Linked DNA regions of Oreochromis niloticus. The protein of the gene in region 3 purifies or fractionates together with the protein of the main gene of each other region. This does not show direct contact. Links are inferred from orthologs where the notes say so. Each region holds a gene or a part of one and is shown on either strand. Other genes may lie near its edges.

Evidence for each region.
Region 1: the proteins of rbx1 (region 3) and fbxo21 purify together in Homo sapiens (affinity purification with mass spectrometry; 3 studies listed by BioGRID and IntAct, with this or other methods). This does not show direct contact. The link is inferred for Oreochromis niloticus from reciprocal best matches to the Homo sapiens genes RBX1 and FBXO21.
Region 2: the proteins of rbx1 (region 3) and fbxw2 purify together in Homo sapiens (affinity purification with western blotting; 3 studies listed by BioGRID and IntAct, with this or other methods). This does not show direct contact. The link is inferred for Oreochromis niloticus from reciprocal best matches to the Homo sapiens genes RBX1 and FBXW2.
Region 4: the proteins of rbx1 (region 3) and keap1b purify together in Homo sapiens (affinity purification with western blotting; 6 studies listed by BioGRID). This does not show direct contact. The link is inferred for Oreochromis niloticus from reciprocal best matches to the Homo sapiens genes RBX1 and KEAP1.

The regions. Positions count from the first base shown.
Region 1 is NC_031977.2:29,805,387-29,812,634, forward strand, and holds the start of fbxo21 (F-box only protein 21), read left to right. Parts: upstream 1-4,248; 5' UTR 4,249-4,303; coding exon 4,304-4,527; intron 4,528-5,098; coding exon 5,099-5,234; intron 5,235-5,594; coding exon 5,595-5,704; intron 5,705-6,504; coding exon 6,505-6,626; intron 6,627-7,248. Other genes in the region: nf2a (merlin), read right to left, coding at 716-838, 951-1,076, 2,139-2,252. UniProt on the Homo sapiens protein: Substrate-recognition component of the SCF (SKP1-CUL1-F-box protein)-type E3 ubiquitin ligase complex.
Region 2 is NC_031972.2:10,100,832-10,108,113, forward strand, and holds the start of fbxw2 (F-box/WD repeat-containing protein 2), read left to right. Parts: upstream 1-4,271; 5' UTR 4,272-4,570; intron 4,571-5,275; 5' UTR 5,276-5,301; coding exon 5,302-5,568; intron 5,569-6,624; coding exon 6,625-6,847; intron 6,848-7,282. UniProt on the Homo sapiens protein: Substrate-recognition component of the SCF (SKP1-CUL1-F-box protein)-type E3 ubiquitin ligase complex.
Region 3 is NC_031969.2:9,352,158-9,360,114, forward strand, and holds the start of rbx1 (E3 ubiquitin-protein ligase RBX1), read left to right. Parts: upstream 1-4,956; 5' UTR 4,957-5,198; coding exon 5,199-5,273; intron 5,274-6,093; coding exon 6,094-6,172; intron 6,173-6,308; coding exon 6,309-6,379; intron 6,380-7,603; coding exon 7,604-7,689; intron 7,690-7,866; coding exon 7,867-7,879; 3' UTR 7,880-7,957. Other genes in the region: chadla (chondroadherin-like protein), read left to right, coding at 1-143, 221-376, 476-621, 810-1,048, 1,257-1,528, 2,221-2,557, 2,654-3,006, 3,236-3,402 and 1 more. UniProt on the Homo sapiens protein: E3 ubiquitin ligase component of multiple cullin-RING-based E3 ubiquitin-protein ligase (CRLs) complexes which mediate the ubiquitination and subsequent proteasomal degradation of target proteins, including proteins involved in cell cycle progression, signal transduction, transcription and transcription-coupled nucleotide excision repair.
Region 4 is NC_031971.2:24,647,369-24,654,577, reverse strand, and holds the start of keap1b (kelch-like ECH-associated protein 1B), read left to right. Parts: upstream 1-4,209; 5' UTR 4,210-4,354; intron 4,355-7,209. Other genes in the region: s1pr5b (sphingosine 1-phosphate receptor 5b), read left to right, coding at 1-472. UniProt on the Homo sapiens protein: Substrate-specific adapter of a BCR (BTB-CUL3-RBX1) E3 ubiquitin ligase complex that regulates the response to oxidative stress by targeting NFE2L2/NRF2 for ubiquitination.

The DNA.
Region 1 (7,248 bases), on a different chromosome or scaffold from region 3:
CTTTGGGAAGATACCATCTGTGCAGTCTGCAATTCTGTTGAAGACAGATGTTGAATCTTTTTAATTATTCTTGAAAAATAATTTATTTCTGTGCATTTTTTTCACCCAGCATCAAATTAAAGTTGATTACATCGATTAAGCATCATGAGGTGGAGGGTGGGGGGTGGTTCCCTATTTTTTTTTGCTGGGAGTTTGCAACCCTATTAGTTAGGTTGCTTAATATTTCTGCTAAGTACTCTTTAAAATACCAGAATAGGGAGGATGGAGTAGGTTTAAGTTTATTAGATTGATCAGTATTGCTGAACTATGAAATATTTTGGGTGCAGTGTATTTTTTACATACAGGTATAACAGAATATCTTTAGTGTTGTTGTTTATTTAAACTTGAGTATGAACTTATACAAAATGCAGCAAGATATTAAAAAAACAGTTTTATTGATTAAAAAACACACTATATCGGATTCATATCGGTATCGGCAGATATCCAAATTTATGATATCGGTATCGGTATCGGACATAAAAAAGTGGTATCGTGCCAGCTCTAATAATGTCAGAGACAAGCAAAGTCTCCATGGTAAACCCAGAGGCCAAAGAAAAATCTGTTAAAATCAAATATTTCAGTGTGCACTACATATGTCCTGACTTACACTGAAAATGAGAGAACAAATGTCTAAATGTACAAAATGATGTATTTTACATAAACAGCGTATAGTTACTTGTAGAAAGAAGAGATGTTGTGTGATATCCTGCACTAGCTCCTCCTCTGCATTTTCAGGGTAAAACTTGGCCAGGAAGTGAAAGATGATGGGTTCTTCTTTTGGCACCTCCTGATCTAGAACCTGCAACAACAAATAAACAACTTTTTTTTTATTGTCATGACTCCTATATCTATATTAACAGCATTTAAATAGCACATCGGGTTTTTTTTAACAATTTAAGTGCAGCAGTCACCTTTTTGTCCATTTTAAGCCATGCAACTGTGTCCTTGATGTTATACCGGAGGCCAAAGAACCATGTCTCTCTCAGTCCAAGAGTTCGGCACACCAAGTCAAAAAGGTCTTTTCCTTTCCACTTGACCTGTAACACAGAAAAAAGATAGGAGGAAATTTTGCATTCATAATATCCTGCATCTTCGTTATCTAGTCATACTGGCATTTCTATTACAACACTGGGTTCCAAGAAGAGAATCATACATGTTCTCCTCATCCTGCTGAGAGCTAAGAGGGAGGCATATCAGGCACACATATCCAATTTAGATTGGCTTTCATCTCTAGCCTCTGAGTTAACTTGGGTTGCAAGCTACTGTCAAGTGCTTCCAAGGCTGGCATGAAAAAAATGCTCTAAGAACTGCAAAAGAATAGGATAAAAAACTCTCCATGCACAAGGAATGGCAACCTTGACCATGCAATACTTCTATTCAATGCTGAAAGAACACTATTTGACCAATACTTATTATGTACTCTCTCTTCAACCCATAATTGATACAATCATCATCCTAGCACAGAAAATAGAAACCTGCAACTCGGATGACGCTGTTATGTGTAATTACTATCTCTAAACTTTAGTGGCGTTCCTCCCTTGTAAAAAAAAACGCATGGTGTTTGCAAGTTATTTTGATGCCTTTCAATTCTCACATATCCCCAGTCATTTGATAAACCCAAAACACCACATAAAGGCCAAAATTACATTTTAAAAAGCAGCATAAATATCTGTTGTATACTCCAAACTGCTAGCAGATAAACTTCAGCAAACCTTATAATGCACTGACTTTTGCCACCAACTATTTCCCTGATCACATTGGTGCAGACGACACAGATAAACATATAACAGATGATTATCTTCTGTAGAACATCACCATAATATCAGCTACAGCTGTTCAGTTCATGGGTCACAGTTGACTGCTGCCATCTAGTGTCGAAAAGTGCTAATTGTTTATCTTAAAAAGGAATGGACACCTGTACCCATTCAGTTGCTGTATCCATTAGATTGTTATCAAGCATTAAGTGCAGTTGCAGAAGCAATACAATGCATAGTAATTGCTAACTAGTCGTTATTAGCTGTACCTGGTGTTGTGGCCACAGTCACTACAATTGTCGAAAAGTCTTGGCTCAAGCTGAATGGATTTAAGATCAGTCTCACCTCGCAGCTGAACTCCAGGTCTGACTCCATTGTTGAGATCCTGACGTTGAAGGTCTTCGCTTGTTTTCTCATCAGCGAGTTAAATCCCATTTTTGCTGCTAAGGCACTTGCCATGGCGAACAGTTCAAAAAACTAACAATTCTATTGTTCAGAGTCGCTCCTACACTTACCTACAAACTGAGTGCACGGTCAAGCCATTTTGTTTAACTTCTTTAACTCTCTGGTGGAAATAGAAGACGAGTCATCCGGCATAGTTGAAAGATAAGCACAGCTGTGCATGTGACTTTCCAGACTTAGTATTAATTGTTCATCTATCGCTGGATGCTCAAACGAGAGTTACATGGGTTTTTAAGACTTTAACTGGCATGTTATTGCTCTATTGTTGTCCCGCAATTACGTATTTATGTTATTTTTTCCCTTTAACTCCTAAAAAGAAAATTATCAATACATTCATCCCAAGCAGATAAATACAGCGTAGTGTCTTAGGCTTGCTACTAGTTAGCTAACTAAGGTTACATATAATATGAACCCTTAAGTGGCAACAACTTTACATAGATCCGTAAGAAATACGATAATGTTCAGATTTATGCGTCTCACCCAAATCATTCCGCCTGGAGACGTCAAAACACTTAACTTGTTACACATGAACTACGCTAAAAAGGAAGCGAAATACCAGCTAACCGCTGCTAACCACTTGTTAGCCATCTCATCCAATGATGCATTCGGGTACCGCCCAAAATGTTGTAATGGCAACGTAGTACATAATAATGGCATTGACATAAAATGCCATTTTATTTAATGGTAGCATCCTATTTATGGCTTAGCCATTATAAATCAATGCTTGAATGCACTTCGCTTTCTTACTCTAAGACAAGCTCACGGGGTTCACTTTGTGGTGATTAGATCCACAACTATTTTGGCGATCAATAAAAAGTTTGTTGTATCTTTTTCATACAAAAATGGCAGACCTAATTGTGTAGTGTCTCAGTTATAAGAAGTAGCTGCTTTGGTCTGTGAAATGGAATCATAATCTGAATATATTTAATTTTAAAGTGCTGGGCAGTAAAATTAATTTACATTTAAATTAAAGAAAAGTAATATCAGCTAATCTTGGGCATTTGAGCAGTGGATTGTTGAAGAACAAATGCAGCTGTTCTAAATACTGGGCAGGGTCTCTGTCCTGTGTGCCCTCTGAAATCAAAACCAGTGACCTTTGGCCTTATGTATCCTAAATAAGATGGGACTTTTACACTTTCTGACACAAACAAAAGTAAGAAAAAATAAACAAACAAAATTTTTTAAAAAATCTGTACAATTTCTGTCATTTTTTACTAGACAGGAATAGTCAACTTTCTCCAACAGATGGATTTAGCTCTACTGACATGTGGACAGACACAGGAAATCCTTTATACTTCATTCGATAACTATCTACCATTTAACTCATTGAATATTATTATTAGTAGTAGTTGTAGTAGTAGTAGTAGTAGAAGTAGTAGTGGAAGAGAGCATGGAGATGTGGGGAGATGGTACTACAAGATGACCTGTTATGATGGATGGGTTGGAGACGGTGGACCAACAAATAGCCAGGAGGCTGAGTTAGAGGTGACAGAGTTCACAATAGTAAGATTTGCAATAGGAATGACCAAAATGGCCTGCATTAGAAATGACTACACCAAATGACTACGCTAAAGGTGAACAGTTTCGAGAATTTAGAGATGCTTGGTTTGGAGTGGTTTGGACTTGTGCAGAGGAGGGACAATGGATGTTATTATTATCGTTATCATTATAATAATAATTATTATTATTATTGTTATTATTATTTACATTTGTAACAAAATAATTTCTCAAAGGGTAAAATGCTGTAGAATAAATAAGTGAGGCCTGTTAATTACATCTGAGATTACTTGCCTATTAAACAAGACTTGTACTTTCAAAAAAAAAAAGTTTCCTTTTCATATTTTTGACTTGCCTGTAGTTTGTTTTGCAAAAAATAAAAATAAAACATAAATAAATAATATAAAATATGTGCAGAATTTCCGATGGTCATGAAGGCAGCACCGGTTTTTGTTTCCTCTTGAGTGAACGTGGCTCCGCCCTCGGCCCGGCCCCCTGCGCCATAAAGGGGCGGCGAAAAGGCAATGAGGTAATCGGGGTAAACAGTAAAGATGGCGACGCCTGTGGATGGAGAGGGACAGCCAAGTCTAAATGGGACTATTCCCGACCCCCAAACAAAAAAACTGACAGACCTGCCGACCGAGTTGCTCGAACACATCCTGTGCTTCCCTGTCCTCAAACATGTCGACATTTGTAACGTCTCCTGTTGCTGCAAGCGGCTACACGACGTTTGTCATGGAAGGGGGAAGGTCTGGGGACACCAGTATAAACTCAGGTGCTGTTTTTTGTGGTATTCTATACTGGCTTTTGGTGGCTTTTATGCTGTCTATAGAAAGGAATCTGACTCTTTTGTTATTTATGCGTAGTTTAGAGCCATTAATCTCTAAATGTCTGCTTTAAGGTGGGTTCGTTTACTGCGAACTCACAGGCAGCTGTCAGCCGTTGACATTCTGCTGATGCACCAAATTCATCATCACGCCATGCCGGTGGCTTCCCCCCTGCAACAACAATGAGGCTTATAAATGTTTACAGCTTTTGCAAGTAGCAATTTATTCTCCATCACACCAAATGAATTCATCCACAATGAATTTGTATGACCTTGAATGTTTGCCTCTGATCTGTAGAAGAGTGAAGCTCTTGGCAAAAGCTAGTTACTGTAAGCCCTCCTCCTGAGTGCCTTGGCTGACAGCTTTGCTCTTCTTTTTTTTAAGCAGAGCAAAAGACACCTCTTCAGCAAGATGATAAACAGTTCTAGAGACTAACATCTAACGCTTGAGGCTGTTAAATCATTCAGAATTTTTATTTGTTTTCCTGTAATAAAAACATTACACTGCCTTCATTAACAGATGGCCAAGACTGCAGAGGTTTTATCGTCAGAATGAGTCCTGTGACTGGCTCAGAGAATACAAAACACGCCATAGAGTTGGGATACAAATACGAAGGACCGTGGAATCGATCTCAAAGAGATTCTTCACAGAAGTTGTGAGTAATCAGTTTCATCAGTGTTGGTTTTTTTCGTTATCTGTTTTACAGTGTTACATTTGACTTTAATAACTTGTGATAGACTGGTAACACGTGGATCGGTAGCAGTTATACATATTTCACTTAAGATACAACAATTAGGGTGATCAAATTAAGTGCATGTTTGTGAGAGATTACGTGGGATACGTCTGAAATTTGTTATATTTCTAAACGCATGCAAACTTTACAGGTTACAAGTCTATTATTTAGCATGGAAAACACAGATATAATGGTGTTTGTTTGGTTTTTCATGCGCACATATTTATGCAAGAAAACCTGGGCTTTCAATGTTCCAAACTAATCTTGAGGTCTGTAACGCAGCCTTGCGTTGGTCAGGTGCTGGGAGACAGCTTTGCAGAAATTGAGTCACTTGGAATGCCTGAGCACTTCTGTGAAGACGAGCTGCTCTTCATACTCAACTCTGACAAGAGGTGAGAGCAGCACTGTGTTTATACTAAAATCTCAGTACTTGAAATTCTTGCTCTGTAGCTCTACACCCACTGACCTCTGTATTAGGTACACATGTTTAGTTGCGCATTAATGCAAGTGTCTAACAAGCCAGTTACAGAAAATCGATGTATTTAGGCATGTAGACATGGTAATGATGACCTAATGAAGTTCATTAGCATCACAACGGGGAAGAACAGTAATTTAAGTGATTTTGAATGGTGCTGGTGTTAGTTAGCAGTTCAGAAAATGCTGAACACCCAGCATCTCAACATGAAACTGGGATCCATCCTGCCTTGTATCAGCAGGTAAGGCTGATGGTTGTCGTGTATTAGTGTGGCTGATATTTTCTTGCACACTTTTAGCCCTTTGAACATGACTGTGAGTTCACAGCACTCAAACGGCTTTCACAGTCACCAGATTTCAGTCTGATAGAGCACCTTTGGGATGTAGTGGAACAGGAGATTCGCATCATGGACGTTCAGCCAATAAATCTGTGTGACGTTACCCTTTCCGAATGGTCCAAAATCAGAGGAATATGTTCAGCACCTTCTTGAATCTATGCCAGGAATCATAAAGGGAGGTCTGAAGGCAATCGGGCGTCCAACCTGTACTAGCAAGGTGTACCTAACAAAGTGGCTGGTGAGTGTACAGTTTGCAGTCACAAATGGGTTTGGGTGTTGATCATGTTAATCCTCTCTAAGACCTCTGTGATTATGATAGCTTTTGTTTTGTTGCATGTGCTCTCCTTTGATCTACCATCTCTCCATTCTTGACTCATTAGGAAAAGCCTGACCCTGAAGTACTATGCAAAGAAAATCCTTTACTTCCTGAGACAGCAAAACATCCTGAAGAGTCTGAAGAATTTCCTGGAGAAGCCCACAGAGCAGCAGTCAGCTCTAGAAGGTGAGGCATCTGTGCCGACAATACAAAGTTATTATACATTTACGTAGACTTATAAATCTCTATTATTTCATTGTGTTAATACTTTATAGCTGCTAATTTTGCTACTAATTATTACAGTATACTGTGCTTAACAAATTATTAGTCATAAAAACAACAACAACAACAAAAAACAGAAATATTTTAGAAATCTTTCAAAAACCTTTTTTAAAACTAAAAATTTCTACCCAAATTTCAGCCGGCAAACTTCTGAGTTCTGAGAAGTCAGACATTGATCAAGGATAACATTCAACTAGTGCTGGGCGATATGACGATATATATCGTGTGGACGATAGAAAAGTGTCTATCGTGCCATTTGTCTTCTATCGTTTCTATCATTTCTAACCCTAATTTTATGAATTATTACATAAAATATATAATTAACCCTTTACAACCGGTCGGAGCAGGCACGCTCCGTTTTGCCTAACTATTTTTAAATCCCTGTAGAACTGGAACCACGTAAGGTAGCGCAATAATTTTTTTTGCATGTGAAACCGGAGGAGTTGTACTTACATCTTATTCCATTAGCTTGCCCTAGGTCACGGTTTCCTTCCACATATAGCTTTGCAAAAATTGCATAAAAAGC
Region 2 (7,282 bases), on a different chromosome or scaffold from region 3:
CATAAAGGTGAAAGTTGGTGGTTCCTCTGGTGCCTTTCATTGGGGAGATTTGCACATGATGCAGGATTTTAAATAGCAACAATCTTAAGAAAGATTATGTGATTACACACATAGATTTTTTTTTGTTTGTATGGTCCCAAAGTACATTACATTCCTCTTCACTGATGTTTAAATCAAGTTCTTTTTCCCAGACCTGGCTTTTTGAGACCTTTTTGACGTTTTCAGACTTCTCCAGGCCCAGCTATACAAAAGGAGGGTCATTTTTGATCCATTCTGTTATAAACCTGAGATGGGTTGCCAGACCTCCATTTAAACTACAAAGTTGAAGTTTTGATACCTTTAACCTTGTTTTTCTTTTGTTCCATATAAAGTCATATAAGTAATTTTTGAGCCTTGTTTGATATAAGTAAAAGAATTATTTGGAGGGGGTATAGCAATCTTAGCATGTCACTCATCTTAGTTATTGATATTTCTTAAATCTAGCAATTAGAATTTCTGAAATGTATAAAAGGACATCTCCATGTTGAGAATAGTTGAAAGCTGCTTGATCTTAGGCCATTAGTGATGATGAAAGGGTAATGGGTAATGTACAAGAGTTTTAATATATATGTCTCCCAGACCAAATGTATTCAAAACATAAAACAGCCAGTTGACACAATCAAAGGCCTTTTCTGCATCTAATGAAATGATCATACCACATGATGCTGGAACCCTTGTTAAAAAATTGAATTAACAGCTCAGGCCATCAGGCCCTGGTGATTTACTATGGTGATAATAAAATTGCCTAAAAGTATTGTTAATATTTATGTTATTTTAATGTCTATCACCATTCTGATCTGTCTGTCGACCACAGGAAAACAAGCAACAGTCACACAAAGTCGCTTGTCAGAGCACCATGAATGCAAGGTACCCCTACCTAAAAAGTGAAGACAGTCTTCACTGAAAAGCTCCTGCAGGGATCTGACTGTATAATTGGGAATGTGGGTGTCAGCCCATTTTTGATGATGTTCACCTATGAGCTGAATAGAATTGAACTTCACTGGGTAGCCACTGGTCAGGTATTTAAGCCTTGATGTTTATGCAGTTAATGGCCACACCATCCCCTAAGATGGCTGGGTAGAGATCATCTTCACCTTAGGAGGGAATCACAATTCCAGTTTCACCATTCAAGGCCCCTTCCTGGTCAGTCAGCTGTCACTGCAACAGCACCTACTAGCAGCTAATGTGCTTGAAGCGATTATCAAGAGACAAGAACTCTCAGGTGATGCCATTCCCACAGTTGTTAGCCTCCGATGCGATGTCTTTGGAATGGTGAACAAGTGATTCCCATGGTCAGTTTCATCCAGGTACAACAAAGAAAATACTGTGACACAGCTACAGTAAGAGTGGGAAAGGGCAATGCTATCATTCCAGGTTTGGTACAGACTACTGTTTTTGTGTGAACCTGTGGAGCAGGACGATGTCCTAGGACAGCTGAGTTTGAGGGAAGGCCTTCTGGAGTTCGATAACCCTCACCACCCCTATATCATGGTACTGATCTCTAAGCACTTAAAACATGAGATCATGCTACCAAAGAGAAAACTTCTTGGTACAGTTTAGCAGGTCACCAAGGTGACTGAGATGGACATGAGAGAACAGTTAATCTTTTCAGATTAACTTTTTCCCAGTAAACCCCAATAAGGACTCTTGCTTTTCCACCACCTGACATTAGCCATCTGATCCCCGAAAAGCAATAAGTGGTGGAAGAAATGTTTTGTGAAGAGGTCGTGTTTCAGCCCTGTAAATAGAAATCAGACTTAAGGATGATGTGCCGGTCGATAGGGAGGTAAAAGAACATATTCCAGAGTTGTTGGTAAAAAGATGGCTTGTTAAATCTTAGTCACCCTATGGTGCTCCAGGCGTGTGTGAGGGAAAAGGATGGGTCCCTACGCCTCTGTATTGATTATCAGCTCTTGAATAACGAAACAGTGCCAGACCAACCCCAGTTTACTCAGAACCAGGATCTCACTGACTCACTGGAGGGATCCAGCTGGTTTTCCATACTGGACCAGGGAAAAGCCTACCACCAATGTTTCATAGCAGAAGGATCGATGTACTTGACAGCTTTCACAACTCCTTGGGGGCTATATTAGAGGGGCAGGATGCCATTTGTATTATCAAATGCACCAGCGGCATTTCAAAGGTGCATGAAAGGAACACAGAGAGTGGAATATGTAAGTTAATGTAAAAACTTATCATTTCATTGAACATCTGATATTTAATGACAATAAAATGTTTCTTATTCAGAACATGTTAACTGGTATATTAAAATATTTCTTTATTAACTGACAAAAATAATGCCATATCATAAATATCGGAAGTAAATGACGACTATCTCAGAGCTGTAAAGAGACTGTTTTTTATTTGTTTGTTTCTTTTTTTTCTTTTTTCTTTTTTTTAAATAAATGGGTCTAACAGGACACTAATAAAATATTATATAATGCTATAGACTGAATCTTATGGGAGGGTATTGTTGACTCCTCATTCCAACTAAGCAACTGATTATTTGCTACTGATTTTTGGGGTATGGCCACTTCCCATCGTACTTCGCTCCAGTAAATCACATTTGCTAACTAATGCCAATCAGCTGATACAAATGTAATATCAATAGATGATGATATTGTTTGATTTGTCCTAAACCATGTTGGTCATCCGTCACTTGAAACAACCAAGTTGTATTTGTCTATAAATTCCTCCACTACTATACCATTTCTGTCCTTCTTCTTGCTTCCCAACAGCTCATTATGTGCATTTAGGTCTTCAACCCACATTAGAGGGACACCGATTTTATCTGTAATTTCTACAAAATAGTTTTCCTCTAATGTGATGCAGAAATTATATGTACTTACAACAGTAAATTTGCCCCTGTCTGTCCACACTTCTGTTATTATGCACTCAATTATTGCATTCATTTCTAGTCCTTTTCTAATAAAGGTTTTATAGGTTTCACCACCAGAGGTTATCTCCTTATTTTTCCTCTCACATTTGGATCTTGGAATCACAAAACCTAGCCTTGGTTTAAACCAAGTTTCTTGTAATATTAACAATGCAAATAATATTAGGCTTTTAATTATCACCGCTTAGAAAATGTCTAAGCGGTGAAATTCCTATTCATTTGCCATGAGGCTCCTAGCATAACAAACAGCAGTATGCAAATGCTGCTATTGCCATGATCATAACCTCAGTCTCTTTAGAACAAGTCCTCTGTGTCTGTGTCATCCCATCCTAAGTGCTGACTTTGTTTGGTTCTTTGTGTTTCACTGTCCTTAGGATAGGTAATTTGACATATTTCTTCCACATTAATCTCCTTGAATCCTAGCAGCCTAGCTGCCACATATCCATAACTCTGACACTTGAAACATCTCACTGGAGGGCTCTACCCCATCAAAGTGTAACTAATTCATCCCACATTATTTTCCTTGGTAGCATATCCTTCATTAGAGGTGAGGAGTACTGGGGTAGACCTTATACCATTCTCAATTTTATCCATGCGATTAACTGCTATCCTATGGAAGCTTGTTTCCACCACTAAAAAAATATAAATGCTATTCATAATAACTCGAAATTTCGACTTATTTCGAGTTATGGATAGCGGTTTTTTTTAGTGGCGGAATGAAGCTTCCATACATAACTAATACTAAGATTTTCTTTTGGACTACTCGGTTCAATTTTTATATTTGTCCACCAGGTGGTGCTACTTTTTACCATTCAAAGCGTGCAGCAAAATTGAACTTTTTCACTTTTTTTATTCGACTTTTTTCTCAAAACAGTATTTGTACTATTTTCCTCGAAATAGAACTTTAATCTCGAAATTTCGACTTTATTCTCAAAATGATCAATAATATTTTTTTTCTTAACGTGGCGCTATTACTCCGTCGTACTAATACTCCTTTATGTATTCGAGATTATTAAAGAAATTGTATTAAAGAGAATTTTTTTCTTTAAAACAAGGGTTCTGACTCTGGACACACCTACTCGCGCGAAAACCGGAAGTTAGTGAATCTATTTGTTTTGATGCCAGCAGCGTTGTCTTACAGGCAAGTTGCGTCATAAGAGGGAACGCTGAAAATAAAAATGCAAAAATGTTATAAAGTATAAGTATACTGAATATGTTGGCGAAGCTACTAAATATGCGGTGGTATATTGTTAAATGTTGCCCGTTGTTTTGAGGTAAAAACTCTTACTTTGCCTCCTGTAAGATTATACTGAGGGTGACAACGACCACTTTATACAGGGGTAGCGTTTCCATTATATTATAGTTTCATGCTGTCAGAAGGTGCTATCATTTTCCCCTGCTGCATGAAATATCTACACCATGAAACTGTAACGAAGACTACCGCTACGTGTTTTACGTGTAATTCAAAATTAACAAAAACAAGCATTATCGTGGTTGTTAGCTAACCTCAACTGCAAAACTAGCTTTCTTTGGAATCCGTTTAACTTGGTGGTTGCCAGATTAGCTTTCGACAGCTAACTTAGCGATGTGACCTAAGCCGGGAAAGTGTTGATCCGGAAACTCCCCGCAACTCTGGTTGGTGGGCAATTTGAATTTCCAATTACAGTTATAAATCATTTAATAGCATAAACTGTTCTTTAAGTATTTGAGTGTTTCCACTTGTAGCCAGTTTGCTCTAAACAATAACACTGCTACAGAGCTAACGTTAGCTACAAAAGTTGCTAGCTAGTCAGGCTAACTTAGAACGAATGCACAAGCAGGAGCCCATAAAAGTGGCTTCCTTTAAATTTCAATTTTAAATAAGTGAAACATATACCCGAATGTACTTTATTTTACATTCATGTGTCGTTTTCAGGCTCGGAAGGCTTTATGAAGCCTGGCGGAAAGCCTTCTGCAGTTTTGGTTATTAGCTGCCCTGCTACAAATGTATGGCCGGATCTTAAACGCTGTATGAGTGAGGAGATGATGCTGGTTGATCCAGGTCAAATGTCTGAACCAGGGACACTTCTTAAATCATACATTTTGTATTGTTGTTGTTCATGACCTTTCAGGGATTCAGAATTGGCGTCATTCATTCTTCAAGAGATTTAAATGTTAAGGGGTTGGAGGGGCTCAAACGTATTCTTTAAAAAAAAAAGAAGAAAAAAAAAAAAGATTATTGCAATGACTGGAGGGCATCACTTTTTTATCCCAGATGTTGAATCTGTCTCTGTGTATTCTGAGTTTGGTAGTTTTCTCCTGACCAAAGTGATGAGGTCAGACCCTGCATTATTCTTATAGCTCTTGCAGGTCGCTCTCATGTGCCCATGGAGAAGGCAGCATTTGAGGGGTGGCTGGAGTCAGTCTCTGCTACTTTCCTTACTCTAAATGACCAGCAGCGCAACCAGTCTTTGGACCACCTCATATCTTTAAGTGGTGCTGCTCAGCTCCGCCATCTCTCTAATGGACTAGAGACACTGCTGAAACGTGACTTTTTGCGCCTTCTTCCCTTGGAGTTGGCCTTCTACCTGCTGCGCTGGCTGGATCCTCAGACCTTGCTCACCTGCTGCCTAGTCTGCAAACAATGGAACAAGGTAATTCTAAAATTTCCAGACTCCTTGTTTATCTGACTTTACTCAAGGAATGGAATTTCAAAGAAAATAATGCATGCAAACATTCACAGTGAAATCTAATGTCCTCTTTCAGTTTTTGATAAAAGTGCAGCTATTAGCTTTTGAAAGAATTGTTTGGTTTGTAGAAGGTACTTATCTGTTATTATGCTGTCTATAGGTATCCATTTAATCCTCAATAACAACCTAAATCCAAAATTGCAGATATGGCGGTTGTCCAGGCCCAAAGATACAGTCAATAGCTAAACCGAGAAACATATACAGACAGTGATGTTGTTGCACTGATGTATGCCCACATATGTGCTTCACTGACAGTTCCAACTGTGATATGTTCATGTTGTATTTTCAACATAGTCTTTCTTGGTTTACTGTATCCGTGAAAAAGAATAGTGTTTGTTCAGTGCTCTTATGGAATACGCTTGAGATGGACATCATGTCAGCACTCTGGATTGATCTGTTGATGAATCTGTAATACTGTCACATTAGAAGTATAACATGTGGGAGAAAAAGCATACGAGACTGCGTTTTGTGCACTTAACTAATTTTACACATTTATCATGTAGTGTCACTGGTCCAGCCCACTTAACATCAAAGTGGGCTGTATGTGGGGCCAGTGATGTAAAATGCATTTGACATCTGTGTTTTGGTATGACTTTTGTTTGCTTGCATGAAAAGCGAACACATATTTAGACTGCCAAGACTGTATACATTCTCATAGTTAGATGAATATGAACCTTTCCACCAAGTGGCATATATATTATATATATTGGTTGTTTGCATGGACTTTCTGATATGTTTGTGTAAATGTATAGATAATGATTATATGAAGCATGAGCAAAGTGAATTACAGGTGGAAATTTAATTGATTAAATGTGTCATACAGCTTAATTTATGTGACACAGATGGATAATTAAGTTTTTAGGGATGTTTATTATTGATCCACAGAGCCTGACAAAACTTGTTTAACATATCAAATATTCTTACTTTCTTTCTTTTTTTTTCTTTTTTTTGGGGGGGTAGGTGATAAACTCTTGCACTGAGGTGTGGCAGGGTGTGTGTCGGGAGCTAGGCTGGAAGATTGATGAGACCATTCAGGATGCATCACATTGGAAGGGGGTCTACCTGAAGGCTAAGCTGCGTATGATGCAGTTAAAGGATCAAGAAGCCTTTGAGACGTCATCACTTATTGGTCACAGTGCTCGAGTATATGCTCTTTATTACAAGGACGGCCTCCTCTGTACAGGTACCCCATGACTATGTGTTCTGTCTTTATTAGAGTAGCAAAATATCAAATTAGTAGCTCTCAAAAGTCTATGATAGAGTCATGACACAGTGCTGTACAGCTCATCAGTTTTATCCAGAGATATTTCTGTCAACCTCATAATACTAACACTCCTTTTAGATTAACTTCACATCATGTCCTGAGAAATGTACCCATACACACACGAAAAACTGCAGTTTGATAATAGCGTTTAAACAAGTCTATCATCTGACATCTGTATAGACAAAAAGTAAATATAAAACTATTCACTGAGTACACTAAAAGTACTGATATATGATGTGTTTCAAAGGGTTAAAACCATTTCAATTTTCTCTTTAGCGCAATGGTAAGAGAGTTATAGTCATTTAAAGAGTGCTTATAAAATAGATCTGTCACCGGGCCAATGGTTTGGTTTTT
Region 3 (7,957 bases):
GGGCATTCATGCACACACCCTACCTCACCTATCTCAACCTGCAGCGCTGCAACATCATTGAGATTAAAGAGGGCGCCTTTCGGACTCTTGGCCGAGTGGTCTCTCTAAACCTGGCTCACAACAAAATTGAAATCCTTTACCAAGTAAGATCAGAGGCCCACAGTTTTTCCTCTCGAGTCTTTATTATGAGAATGATGTTATCTTCTTTTCACTGCTGCAGGAGTCCTTTGACGGTCTCTCCTCCCTGAAAGAGCTGCGTCTGGACCACAATCGCATCGAGGAGATCCAGCCTGGAGCCTTCACACAGCTCGGCTTCCTCAACACACTGGCCCTCACCCACAACCAGCTGGTTTACATCCCTAACATGGTCTTCCAGGTACTCCAAATTATGGGTAAATACTTTAATAATCTTTTTGGATGTGTTTGGTAATGCGATTCCACGACAGTCCTCCTCCTCTTCCTCTTCCTCCTCAAGGGGCTGCAGAACATTAAGTTTCTTCGTCTTAGCCACAACTCTCTGAACAACCTGGCACCTGAGGCGTTTGCTGGGCTCTTCACCCTCAGCCGCCTCGACCTGGATCACAATGAGCTGCAGTTCTTCCCCACACAGACAATGACGAGGTGGGACAACCTGAACGATTATTATGGGACGTATTGATGTGTGTGTTTTAATGTGTGTTTAGTATTGAATCCTCAGCTGCAGCAGCACTGAGAAAGACGTCAAACTACTGACCACAATACATACCATGAGTCAAATTTGTGAGCTTTTAAGTGACAATTTTAAATTGCCATGTCCTTCACCTGTTAAGACTCCGTGAGGTCACACGGCTGCACATGAACCACAACCCCATGGTCTACCTCGGGGAAGATTCAGTTTCCATGGCAAAGCTTACACACCTGTACCTCAGCCACATGTCCCTTCAGGACCTCTCAGACAAGGCCTTCTCTCAAGCCCCCCTCCTCTCACACCTTGACCTCAGCCACAACCATCTCCGGTACCTGGAGCCCCTCTCAGGCCCTAGAGAGCTCACCAGCCTCAACCTGACAGGTAAAGCCTGTGTTCTGATATTTTTTTATTGGACACAGACTTTTACTTTAACATAACAGGCTTTCATTTTTTCCAAACCAGCAGATGTAAGTGATCTGACTTCTCATGTCTCATAGCGAGGCCAAGAAAGAAAGATGTAGGGGGGTGATAGCATACCATGTGTCATTTTTACATGCTGACCAACAGGCATTTCTTACTTTTTCTAAAGGGAACCCCATCTACTGTAACTGCTATATGTCTCCACTGAGGCAGTGGGCAAGAGTTAGTGGTGTGAAGCTGCTGGGAGCCTGCTCTGGACCTCCTCACCTCTCAGATGAGCCTCTGCAGGCGGTGTCTCCTCAGGATCTGCGCTGCAGGAGGGGGAAGTCACCGGTGGAGGATGATGAGGAGGAGGAGAGTACAGAAAGAGTCCCACCCACGGTCACAGCCACTGCCAAGCCAAAGCAGAAGGTCAAGTGTCCAGCTAACTGTGAATGTGATGTAAGTTGGAGACAGAAAACACTTCTGGGACACTTCCATGAACGTTTCAGTTCAACTCCAGCATTTGCTGATCTCTCAACAACGAAAGCAGGAAGAACAAATAAAAACTCCAGTTTCTCATAGATTTGCTGTTTTACCAGACTCTCACTTGGCTCACTTGTACTTACTTACTTCACTAATCCCAGTAGAGCACTTGGCTCTCAGACTGCGGGCTTACTTGTGATTCCTAGGATATTTAAAAGTAGAATGGGAGGCAGAGCCTTCAGCTTTCAGGGCCCTAATCTGTGGGACCACCTTCCAGTTTGAATTCAGGAGGCAGACACCCAGTCTAGTTTAAGCTAGAGAGCTATGCTAAAAGGGTGTTGATAAAGCAGTTAGTTAGGGGTTGGATCAAGTGGCCATGCTTTATAAATAAAATTGAGTTGAAAGCTCTAAAAATCCACTGTAGGAAGATGGGTAACATAGTGGTAGATATTTGGCACACCACAAATAATGCTTCAAAGGCCTTTAAATGAAGGCTAATGCTGTGTGCTACAAGGCAGCTGTTTTACTCATATGTTTATCAGTGTCTCAGAGCACTGTGATATGTCAGTATTATATTAATTAAACCCTCAGAGTACTTCCTCAATGACTGTTTGTTATTTCCACTGAGGCGTTTTGCAGCTATCACATTCAAAATTGATTTTCTCTAGACTGAGACCCAGCATGCCACATGTGAGGGTCGGGGCCATACTAGAATCCCACGAGGCTTCCCCGCCAAGACGCAGCTGCTGGACCTCCACGATAACCACTTCCACTACCTTCCAGCCAACAGCTTCCCAGGAAGCAGCCAACTTGTTTCTCTTCACCTGCAGTCCTGCAAAATCCATGAAATTGAAGGTGGTGCCCTCCAGGGGATGAAAAACCTTTTGTATTTGTATCTTTCTGATAATGACCTCGTGTCCTTGGACCCCAAGGCCTTTGCTGGAGCGCCCAAGCTCACCTACCTCCACCTGGAGAGGAACAAGCTGGCACAGTTCCCTGGATCAGGTCAGTGGATAAGTTACATTAAGTCTGCCTCTCAGTAGATACTATCTGCAAGAAACACTGGAACTAAAACATGGCTGTTCTGTGTCTTTCTTCTAGCTCTGTCACTCTTACCAAGTCTGATTGTGTTACACCTGGAGCAAAATGCCATCTCTAAACTTGAGACCAGCGGGTTACTGTCCTCACTGGGCTCTAAACTTACTGAGTTATATCTGAGCAATAACAACTTAACTTATATTGCCAAGGGTGCTCTTGACTCTGACTCTCTAAGTACCCTTCACCTGGATTCAAATCAGCTGACTGAGGTGCCCACCCACGCTCTGGTTGAGACCCCTAATCTGCAGGAGCTCAACCTCTCTGGAAACTCAGTTCATTGGGTGGGACCAAATGCTTTCCAGCCCTTATCCAAAAGTCTGAAGAGGCTTTACATGGATCATATGGGAATGGAAAAGGTACAAGAGACCCTTTTAAGCTAATATCACAAGTTAGTTTGCAACGTGTTTATGTTTTCTCAGCATTGTCAGTATTTAAACACACGCCAGGCTTCCAATATCTAGTTCAGACATGACTGTACTGACTGTACTGTTTATGTGAGAATATGTGCTGATTATTCACTGCACTGAGGGCTTGTTCAAGATACAGCATTTTCTTTTCAACTCTTTGTATTGCACCACTGTGCAGATCTCCAAGGATGCGCTGCTGGGGCTGGGCTCAGAGCTGCGGACTTTGACTGTGAGAGGAAACCAGCTGGAGGAGTTTCCTGATCTGAGCTCACTCACCGGCCTGGAGACCGTGGACCTGCAGGACAACCCACTGCGTTGTGACTGCTTTCTGCTTCCTCTGCGCAGGTCGGTATAAGATTTACCTGCGATTACAGTTAGAATGAACTGACAGCTTTACTGACTCTGTTGCTTTGTGTCTGTGGCTCAGGTGGATGGAGAATGTTAGTTTGGAGCTGACCGCAACTTGTGGTCACCCTCCTGAGCTCAGAGGTCAGAAGGTCCAGGGCATCCACGTCTTCAAGTCCTGTCCAGAGAACATTTTTCCACAAGAAAAGAAAAGTGCTGCAGATCCAAAAGTGAAGAAATCCAAAGCAGACTCCTTGAAGTCCCGAAAAATCAAAGCACAGACCACAGCTAAAGTCGCCAAACTGCCCAGGAAGCAGCCTCAAAGAAAACCTGGGCCACCAAAAGTAACAAAGAAAAAGAAGATACTGAAATGAGAACATGTAACTCATTTTCCTTTTACTCTTTTTTTTGCAATAAACCTGAGTGTTAAGGAGTTGGGTTTCTTGAAAGCTACATTTTTTTGGTTCTAAATTAAAATGTTGAGCCATGCAAGTTTTTTCTATCCAAGCGAAAAATCAAAGTTAAAAAGTCAGAGGAAACCTGACAGTCACTCAGCCAATCTCTCACCATTCTTGCAGGGATACTTTAATGCGACACTAACAAGGTTTGTTGAGAGGGAATAAAAACGCATTTTTAGAAGAGCCCAACTGCTATGCATATTACAGAAATGTATATTTAGTGGTGCACATACTAATTTACAGAGGCCAAGCGCTGTGTCCGTAGGTGAAATCAGCGAGGCCATGTTATCCCACATTGTCCCTATGTGAGACTGCACAGCAATATCCCACATTGGGATTGAGTGTAGTTTATAGAAGGGAACCAGATGGCTAAAAAAATCTTATCTATGGGTGTATCCATACTGAAAGCCAACAAAACCACAGCTAGTTCTGTGCAGTACTGCAAATTTTGGTATTGATCTGATATCAAGCCAGTGTTCCCTATAGCAATACCAATATTTTTAGCCTATAAGGGCAGCTCATGTAAGGGAGAGCTGTGTGATTTATGAAATGAATCATCAATATGCAAATTCTGAACACATTTTAATAACCACTAAAATCACTGTGATTTAAAAAAAAATTCCCACAATAATTAGTTAACACAACAACAAAACAAATCTTTCAGCTTCTTTAATTGTTTTAAAATTGCTCTTTTTTAGACCTGTCTTTTAAGCGATTTTGGTCAACATCTGTTATTTAAATGTGCTATAGGGATTAAATATTCTAGACGTAACGGTAAATACAAAATCTTTCAGATATTTTCATACGGCATGTCTGAGCTATAGTTTTTCAATTCCAAATTTCAGTGGGCTACAAACTGAACTTAGAATAGAAACAAAGTATTGATCCAATCACGATAGCATCGATGGGAGACCAATTCTAATTCAAAATAGTTGGTAGTGTTAGCAATATTTGTGCTCTAACAATTTACTATAACGAAAAGGAAATGACAGACCCTGGTGTCTGTAATACCCACCTTTATATCGAGCTATAGCTCAAGCATCGTCATGGGGTTCCATGGTGTAATGGTTAGCACTCTGGACTCTGAATCCAGCGATCCGAGTTCAAATCTCGGTGGAACCTAATCATTTTGGATCATAGAGAAGCTTTTCGCTTTGTGTTCATGAAAGTTAAAATTGTTAGCTTTTGAAATAAATATAAGAAAATGACCATCTTCTGTCTTCTTTACGCCGTCAAATATCGATATAATACGCTTTAAAATTTTCTAAAATTCGCCGGCGGAAACTGCCGCTCTTCTTCCGCCTGATTTGGCTCATACGTCATACTCTTCTGTTCAAGATGGCAGCAGCAATGGACGTGGATACACCGAGCGGTACTAACAGCGCAAGCAAGAAACGATTTGAAGTAAAGAAGGTATGGCTGTAAAAAGTCTCTCACTGGGGAGTTACTAAGAAGCTTTCTAATGTGACCAATGGACGCTATCATAGTTCAGTGATGCTGCCGTGTTAGCCCACTGCCTTTAGTATGCTAACTCTAGCATGCTAACTTTAGCGCTAAGTCACTGTGGCATAGCATCAGTTAAGACAGTAGGCTTGTTGCTGTTAGTATCGAACACCCACGAATTTGCACTTCCCATTAAGGGGCTAAGAATAAACACCCACACAGATATCTCTGAATTAATAACAAAGGTGTAATGGGCAGAAACACATCAGCTGTTCAACCGGTACCCCGGCGAAATTAGCTTAGCTACATTTCACACGTAATTTTTGCTCTGTATTTAAAAATAATGTTTACACTTTTGACATGTTTTCGATGCTATTCCTTTCCCAATAAGCTAGACTCAAATGATATATTTAGGGCCCCATGCCTTAAATGAGATCCTAAATCTCTCTATAGAGTTTACAGTAACATCTCAGGCGTATTTCTGGGATGGGGAAGTGAATACGGCCCTCTTACAGACACTCAAGAGATGCTTTTGCTTCTTCTTTTTAAATCAAAAGACATTTGACACTCATAATGAACCAAAGTTAAAATATATTTTTTAAATAAAACACATGTTTATGTCATGTTTGTCATTAAGCTCAAAAAGTGCCCCTCAAGTCACAGCAGTTTGTGCACTGCTGGCCCTCGTGTGGTTCAAATAAAGGGATATAGACATGTTTTAAATTACTTAATCTCCAGATTATGAATCTTAGATCATATATTTGTGTGATTTTATTTTTTCCCCCCTCAGTGGAATGCTGTGGCGCTCTGGGCCTGGGACATTGTGGTGGATAACTGTGCTATCTGTAGGAACCACATCATGGATCTCTGTGAGTTCACTTTGATTATTTTGGTCTTTGATTTCTTTGGTGCACATTTTGACAGTAAATGAGGTTTGCTTATCATTGTAGGTGATATGGTGCTTTTTATGTTGACACATTTCTCTTTTCCCCCCTCACCCATTAGGCATAGAGTGCCAGGCCAACCAAGCTTCTGCAACCTCTGAAGAGTGCACTGTAGCCTGGGGTGTTTGCAACGTAAGTCTCTATACCAACATGTACAGTGTGATCAAAATGGTCTCAGCTCCCCTTTGAAACCATCGCTCTTTGTTTGGATTGCAGTGTGGAAGCAAAATCCTGGTCTGACCGCTTGATTTTCTCTGCTTTCACTCGCTCTCTTTGCTGTGTGTGATTGGCTTTTGTTGCCAATCACACACAGCAAAGAAGATGAAAATGGGTGTCTGAAATTAATTTTTTGGGAACAAAGGAGGAAGTCACAGGAAGTGTGTGTGCTCTGTGCTCCACAGTTGAGTCTTCACAGTCTGACCCTGGTGTCTGTAACACTGACAGTTGTTGAGGCTCCGTTTTTGGCATTCGTACTGCATTCATATTGAAAACATGCAGATTCACAAAATCAGATTAGGACTTCTAAGGCGTGATCTTAAAAAGACGATGACAGGCAAGGACTGTGAGACTTTTGGACAAGCACCTCCTGTAACAATCATCTCTGCTGCCAGGAAGGGCAGATATAGGAATTCATATGTATTGGGCAGAGGTGATCTTCCAGGTGACATATCATTATCGTCATTATTATTAATTTCAGCTGTTGTTACTAAATGATTTCCCAAATATCAGATAAAGTATATTATTTATTTTATTTGTAGATGCTCTTGATTCATATTAACCAAAAATGATCAGCATGTTGATCCATAAAGGTGAGAGGAATCATGTTAAATAAACACAAATTAATATTAGTATAACTTCTGAAGCGATGTTCCCAACATTGATCATAATGAACTTTAATAAGCATTTCCTGCACAAGGCTGTTGTGTTTATAAGAGCTTGATCATGCAGGTTTATATGCAGGAACTATACATGCAATGAACACTATTTAAACGGAAGGTTTTAAAGTTTCCCAAATCCTTAAAAATGGCTTTAAATAATCTGGGATAACTTGATCCTCTGGTCATTTTGTTATTTTAAACCCACATTATCTATTTCTTTGTTTTCCAGTTGTGCCTCAAAGTTTGATTGTTGTCGTGTGGAAGTACAAAGAATTAGAGTATTACCAGTATTGCCAGGTCTCTCTTGGAAATGAGATTTTTACCTGGATAAATAAAGGACTAAAAAGAAATAAAATTACAATACAAGGGAATGGAAATACATGATACTTAAATATTGTTAACCTGAAGTAAAATATCAGTTTTTCACTAGAGAAATTATTTTATGTAGTTTTACCATCCTTTTGTTTCTCTTTCCCAGCATGCTTTCCACTTCCACTGTATTTCTCGCTGGCTGAAGACCAGACAGGTGTGTCCTCTGGACAACAGGGAGTGGGAGTTTCAGAAGTGAGTACCACGCATTACATTGTATACAGTTTTACTGTGTGGTCCAATCACAAGGGTTTAAGGGGTTCCTTGGTTAACAGTGCATTTGATCTTTTGTTGACCTGCAGAGAAAATTGTTTATTCTTTAAAAGTGAAGAGCTGTACTGACAGCACACCCTCTCTGTCATGTTTTCACAGATATGGACACTAGCTGGTTTATCGTTCACCCCTTTGTTGGCTTCTGCAAGCAGCACCCTCACTTTATCCTTGTTCTGACCCGCTTATAGTA
Region 4 (7,209 bases), on a different chromosome or scaffold from region 3:
CGGCTTGTCAGGCAGCATAAGGAAGGGCTTAGCTAGGAAGTCAGAGAAGTACATTGCTCTCCTCAAGACAGTCACCATTGTATTGGGAGTCTTCATCGCCTGTTGGCTGCCCCTTTTCATTCTCCTCCTGATAGATTTTTCCTGCCCCACCCGCGGATGCCCCGTGCTCTACAAGGCTGAGTACTTCCTGGGAGTAGCCATTATCAACTCGCTCCTCAACCCCATCATCTACACACTGACCAGTAAGGACATGAGGAGAGCCATTCTGAGGCTCCTCTGTCGGCCATGTCTAATGACCTCAGATGGGCAGGTGAAGAAGATTGGGATGCCGTTCCTGGAGTGCAGTTTCAGTAAAACTGAGGTGCCCTCCCAGAAGTTAGAACCGGGTCTGGAGACAACTATTTCATCTGGAAACGTCATCACCACTCCATCTCCAGTTAAAGCCCTATACCCCAAACTTTTCAAGTCATAAAGACTTTGACTGACTGTGTCCAAAATGTGTAAATGGGTTTCCCGCTGAATAGAGGATATGTAGCGCATCCACTATTGAGAGACAGTTCTGTTTTGTTTGTTTTTTTCAAAGAGCCATAAAAAGGGGGCGTATAAAAGACGATGACTCATCTTTGACAGTGTGGCGCAGTTATGGCAATATAACTGAATCACCAAATTTCATTTTGATGAAGCATACCAAACCAGAGAGCAAAGGATGCAATTCAAATGTGAACAAGCAATGTTTTTTATGTATATGATGCTAGCAATACGTCTTCTTTATTAATTTGCACTGACATATGCAACCTTGGACTCAATTTTTTCTGGGCTTCTGTATTTTGTGTGAAGCTTAGAAGGACGCTTCTGTAAACTCAAAGAGTGAAAGACTGAAAACTATGTACTTGCTGGAATAATATGGAGGCTAACGTTTCTCATCTTGCAGTTTCTTAAGTGCCTTAAAGTCAGAATAAAAACTCCTAACAGTTACAGCGTGTAATCTGCAGACACCTGGATTTCGCTGGTTCGAAGACTGATTGTGTGCTAGATTTGCATGGGTAGATGTTTGGTTACCCTACACGTATCTGTGTACGTGATGCAAAGGAATTAAGTTAACAGGAAAAAGGTGGCACCCTTCTTGAAATTGCTGAATGCTGTATGCAAATAAATTATGTGGGAGAGGAGGTGCAGCATTAAAACCCCCTAACAGTTTTGAAATGACAGGTGGTTAACCTATCTGCGGTAGACGTGGAAAGTTGTTGGGGTCGTGTCCAGTTTTTTTGAAATGTCAACCTGACATCTACAGTAAAAACTGCTGCATTTACAAAATGTCATCATACTTAGCATCGGATTAACTGAAAGATAATGTTACAAGTAATGTTTACTTTCCACTGGCTGACAGCTTAACTCCAACTGAAACCAAATCAGCTGCAGTTGCATCACGTCAAGGCTTTACATTCCAGCTTGTGAAGAAGACGACCTTAAAAAGAAGTTCATTCAGCTGCATCACAAGTTTTATGGATAAAAATATTTCTGCCTTTGTAAGTTACAGATCATGCTGAACTGGTATAAATTTACCAAGCAATTGTTTCAGTGCTTCCTTTCATTGTTCATCAAGTTAACAGAACATTTCAGTTAAAGGTACTGAATGATTTTTTTTCTTACGTCATTCAAGACTTTAATTGATTAAATGAGGTTGTGGTTTTTTTTGTACTAAAATGTATGTAGTGAACTTGATGTATTTGTGAGCATATTTTTTATATCTCTATTGTAAATTATATATATTTTGTAACAAGAAAACGTTAGCAAAATTTGTGTTTCTTTTCATAAAAGAAATAAAGTGTTTCTCTAAAACATTCCAATGGGGTTTCAATTTATTTTCACTGTTAGTGCCCTGCAGCATTCTTAAGTGCATCAGTGTGTATTATTGTGTTAGTGTAGCTGTGGTTAAGCAAAGAAGTATCACAGGAAGTCAGCCTCCCTCATCTCACATCTGGTAATGGCATTGACCTATATACATCAACTTTTGCCTGTTTCTGAGTGGCTTAACCTCCACACAATGCCTCTTTTAGTAAATACTTCTTAACCAGTGGTTACAAGTTACTATCACCTCACACTGATCCGGCCTCCACAATGCCAGTCATAGTTAAAATTTAGAGAAATTACACAGCTGTTATGTATCCAGTTAAGCTACAATATATTGGTTGATTTGCAGAAAACAAAAAGAAGCTGCTTTTCAGTTCTTGTTGATTTTTGTTTTGTCAGGCCACCGTTAAAAAAATGTCAATAATGCAAAGCACGTCTAGTGTGACAGACAGCAGATTTTTCCGTGTGATTTTAACTGTCTTTGCCCTAAAGGCATTCTGTAGTCAACCATAACCCCCTCTTCCCGGCATTTGGCAGAGCTGTCCTGTGCTCCACCTTGCTTTTTGCTGCAGCAGACTCAACTGTTAAAAGTTAGAAGTCATGACCAGTGACTTATAAATAGAAGAAGTTGGTAAGTGGTTTTCAGGGTTTTTTTTAAATGTCACACCACTGTTAGAAATAAACTGTCAATAATGCCCAGCACACCAAGTGTAATAGTGTACCCAATGTAACTTTTAATAAACACTGAACACCAAGGTTTTGTTTTGTTTGATTTGTTTTTCCTGTGAACTGGCCCTCCACATCAACTATAGTTAAAATAAAGAAAAATTACACAGCTGTTATGAATCCAGCTAATTTAGCTCCTATAGAAAGAAAACTGTATTCAGTGCCTGCATTTATGTCTAAATTTGTCTTATAATACTGCCAAAGTTACAGTTATGAAGACATGATTTTTAATGCTAACATTCAATTCTGGTAAAGACTGTTGGTTGATTTGCATGAAGCTAAAAGAAGCTGTTAAGTTCTTCACTTATTTTTCACATGTTTTTTTTGTCAGGCCACTGTTAAAAAAATGTCAACAACGCAAAGCATGCTTAGTGTGATAGATAGCAGATATTTTCCTGTGATTTTTACTTTCTGTGGCCTAGAGACATAAGCCCTGCCTCATGGTGCTAGAATACCTCTTATATGATTTGTACAGTGCAGGTGGTCCTCCAGATGTTTGCTTTATCCATGAGAACTGTGCCTCCTGGCAGAGGTCGACAAGTCAGAGAATCTTTCCTGTACTCTGGCTTCTGTTCTGCTATAATGAACTCAACTGTTACAAGTTATGACCATTGATAGTCCCTTGATGCCACAGCCACAAATAAAAAAACTGTACTTTTCCTTGCTCTAGCAGAATTTGGGAAATGACAGAGCTGAGGAACTGGTAGTACAAATGTGGGTGCAGTCTTAACCTACCTTTGTACGATCAGTGTATAGGAAGCATCCATCTAGAAGAGCAGTTTGGTGCCTCAAGGCTTACTTCAGCCTTTTCCTCTGATTGGATCTTTACACAGACACACAGCAGAGTCTTGGGGGAACTCTAAGTGGTGTATGCATCATGACTTGTCATTTCATATCTAGGATTTGCCAGTCCTTTCAACTTTAAGGTGTATAGATGGAATCTTATCATGGGGTGCTTGGTGTAATGGGCTGTGAACTGTGGTTGCAGAGCAACAGGGCTTAAATGTCTTGGTTATATTATGGCAGCTCATTCCACGGGATTAAACTCAAAAGTGAGTGTTTACGCTTGCAGTCTCACAGTTAGCTTTTGGTGCCACCTTTTGGCTTTTAAGCAGAACATCAAATTCTGTGACCTGAATTACGTGTTTTGGAAGAAGGAGGGGGAAAACCCCCTTAGTGGTGTGTCAGCACTGCAAACAGATTCCTCCCAAGCTCCTGTGCTATGTAGGAGTCATTCATGTTTTAAGGCAGAACTGCAGTAACATTATAACCATGTCTCTAGAGCACACACCATTATGTCTGAGCAACATAGTGATCGTTAAACAATGCCAGTTTAGTAATTTCCTGCTGGCGTTTCAACAATTACTCACACAGTTTTAAAGCAGTGTTACTGCATTATTGCAGTTATTTTCTCATAATTAGATCCCATTTTAAGTTGCTAGAAGAAGTACCTGTTTTGCAGTTTTATCCTTTATATGGTATTTGTGTCAAATTTTGATTGACGTTAAAGCTGCAGTTTTTGGCTCCCTGCCAAAAATTGGCCCAGCTTTTCCTTCGTTTTAAGAATTCCTTCTCAATAAAAGCCCCCTCCCACGGGACACGTTTGTCTGCCATTAGTAATAAACAGAGGCGGGCCAACGCTTTAGTGGCGAGCTCTTATTGTGAAGGCGAGATGAGGCCGGTACAATGCTTAGTCACGCTGAGTTACAGCTTTCTCCTCCTTTCTGTGTGGTTCGCAGCTCGGCAGACCGCGATGGAGGAATTGTTCTAGACTACGGTAATTCTCTGTTATTCCAAATTTAAGGAGCCATTAGTGATTAATGTCAGTTGTTTGGACATGTTTAGATTTTGTGCGGGTGTGTTAGCAAGAATATATTTTGATACCGCTTTGTTAGCACGTTTGTTGCGAGGTCGGCTCACAGCCGTTACTCTGCTGTCTATTATTAGGAGCCTATTTTGCTGTCAGCTCTGTTTCCGAAACGTTTGACTTGTTGTTTTGAGGGGGATTACGGCTCTTTCATCGTGAGACCTTCTGAGTTCACCGTCTTTGCAAACCCACCAGAAACCTTTAGCAGCCGATTTTGCTTGCTCTGTTCTACCTTTGCATGCCAGGTCTGTGGATTATTTATTTATTTTTTTGACAAACGCAAGCTCAGAAATGGTCCTCGTAGAGGACACACGATGGCTTTTTGTGTGCTCTTCATGTCAGGTAAATGGCGCGGAAATCCAAGTCCATCATGGTTTATGTAAGGGACTGGCTTCACTTCTGGGTCATGTTTTGGTACATCCAGTTCCACTGTTTGCTCGGTGAAGAGTTCACGATGAGTCACCGAGGAAAGCTGGTTGCCAAAATGCCCGAGAAACGCGCTGGACTCTGTACTTGTGTTTGTTTCACTCCTGTCTCGATGGCGTTTGCTGGCTCTGTAGTACAAAACAAAATAAAAATCGCTGACACAGCTGTAGGTGTAGCTCAGATCAAACTGTTAAACTTGTAGAGTCCCTCCAGTTGTTGTAAGACACCCAAGACCTGTAGGTAGGCCTGAAGGGTGGCACGCAAACCGACGTGCAGGGTCTCTGTCAGGGGTGAGTGTGCATCTTTATGACTGTGGCTATTGATGAGCCAACTTTCTTGTCAAGATTAGGGTCGCAGTGGAAGATTTTTTTTTAGCAGCATCAGCATAAATCGCTGGTTTATCGTTCACGTTCATCTTTTAAAGATGCATACTGCATATTTTCAGTTTCCTTTTTGAGCTCGTCCTTTTGTAAGGATTTACTGCTGCCAACTCCTTGAAACTTCCTTGTTTAGTGTCACCGTTGAGTGACAGTTTAATTTCACTTCTACAACCTGTAATGAACAAGTTTTCTCATGCTAGAGGAGGAAAACCCTGCAGATGTTTGCTAGGAGTCGTTGACTTATGGCATGTAAAATTTCAGGATCTCCCACATGCGTAGGTTATAAAATGTCTTAATAAATGCTATCACAATACATGCAGTGTTTGTCAGCTGATTCATCCATTGATTGATTCAACAACAGATACTATCTTTAGAGTGGCTTGGACCCAGTTATACCTGTCGCATTCATCATACCTAAAAACATGTTTTTATTATTGATGAAATGTCAGAGAAATGCAGCAGGTAGAGCGTGGGACTTGGAGAGCTTGTTTGTCAGTGAGTCGTTTCTGTCTGCTGTGGAAAGTGGGCGAGTTGAGCAATATGTTCTCCTGTGAAACTATTTCACCCAGAATCCTGGAAGGGGGGAGGCACAGCAGTAAATGTGAATCGCAGAGTGTTTCATGTTACAGCGAGCTTAACTGGCTGACTTCCTCATGACGAGTTCCATCATGGCCACTGACGTGTCCCCATCTGTTGGTAAAATGAATAACACTCAAACTTAGTTTGTTTTTTGTTTTTTTTTTCCCCTTAATCTTTAATGATTGCAAAGAACACTGTAACCTACTTGCAGATTGGAAAGCTACAAGGCCATATAAACTGGCCTTTTGCTTTGCGTCCTTTTATCAATGCTTCACATAACGATCAGTGTGCGTGTGGGTGTGTATACACAACTTACAGGTGCTTTGTTATATAACTGAACCCTCACAGCAGCATTGTTGCTGAGTAATTCAGACCCTTCCTGATCAGAGCGCTCCAAACGGACATTAACCACATGTTTCTTGTATTGTACGTCACTGTTGCAGGCAGTTCATATTCTGAAAAGAAGAAGTGGGATTCGAATGAAAAGGAAGGCATTAAATTTTCAACTTAATGGGTTCAACGTAGTGGCTCTGATCCCACATATTCCCTGTAGAAGTATTTGTTTGTAAGCCAGTCTGCAGAGCCAGAGCCCTCTCCTCCTCCTGGATTACTCCGATAAAAGTACCTCTTGACTCTGATTAAAAGATTGTTTTGTTTCTTAGCCTAATTTGGTTTAAACATGTCTGGAAGATGCTGCAATGGATGTACTTGGATTCTGCTGTTGGTTGAACAAACTGTTCCCTCTGTTCAAGCCCCCAGTGGATTGGCAACAGGGCATAGCAAGAGCACACTTAGTCATGCTGGCCTGTTAAATTAAAGCCTAATTTAAGTCACAGCGTTGTCCTTCAAAATGAGCAGCACTCCCTTGCTGCTGCTTACACACTTAGTTACTTGCTGTTTTGCTTATATTGTTAGGCTCTCTAGGTGGACATTTTTTACTTTTAAAAGTAGTGAAAGTAATAAGTAGGATTGCAGGCACTTGAGTTCCTCACCAACAGTTTTTCTTTGCGTGTTTGGAGTTTTAACGCTAACTCAATCAATATTCACTTCACCCTGTCTTTTATCAGCTGTGCACACTACCTGTGTGTGAAGACATGCCAGATAAGGAGAAACTATCATGACTGTGAAAGATGGGACTGTAAATCGACTCTGTCTTCATCAGGGAAGCTGGACTGCTTCAGTGATCCTTCTTTGATACTGAGTTTGCATCTGCCCTACTGAAGAGCACCTGTTAGATAAGCCCTTACAGCCATGTAGTACTTCCTTTGTTTTTTAAATTGTCTTGGATTGCACACAGAATTAGTAAAGCAATGTTTAAGTCAAGCCTGATAAATGAATGATTTCCCGGCTATTTCTCGTTGCTCAAATACAGCGTATTAA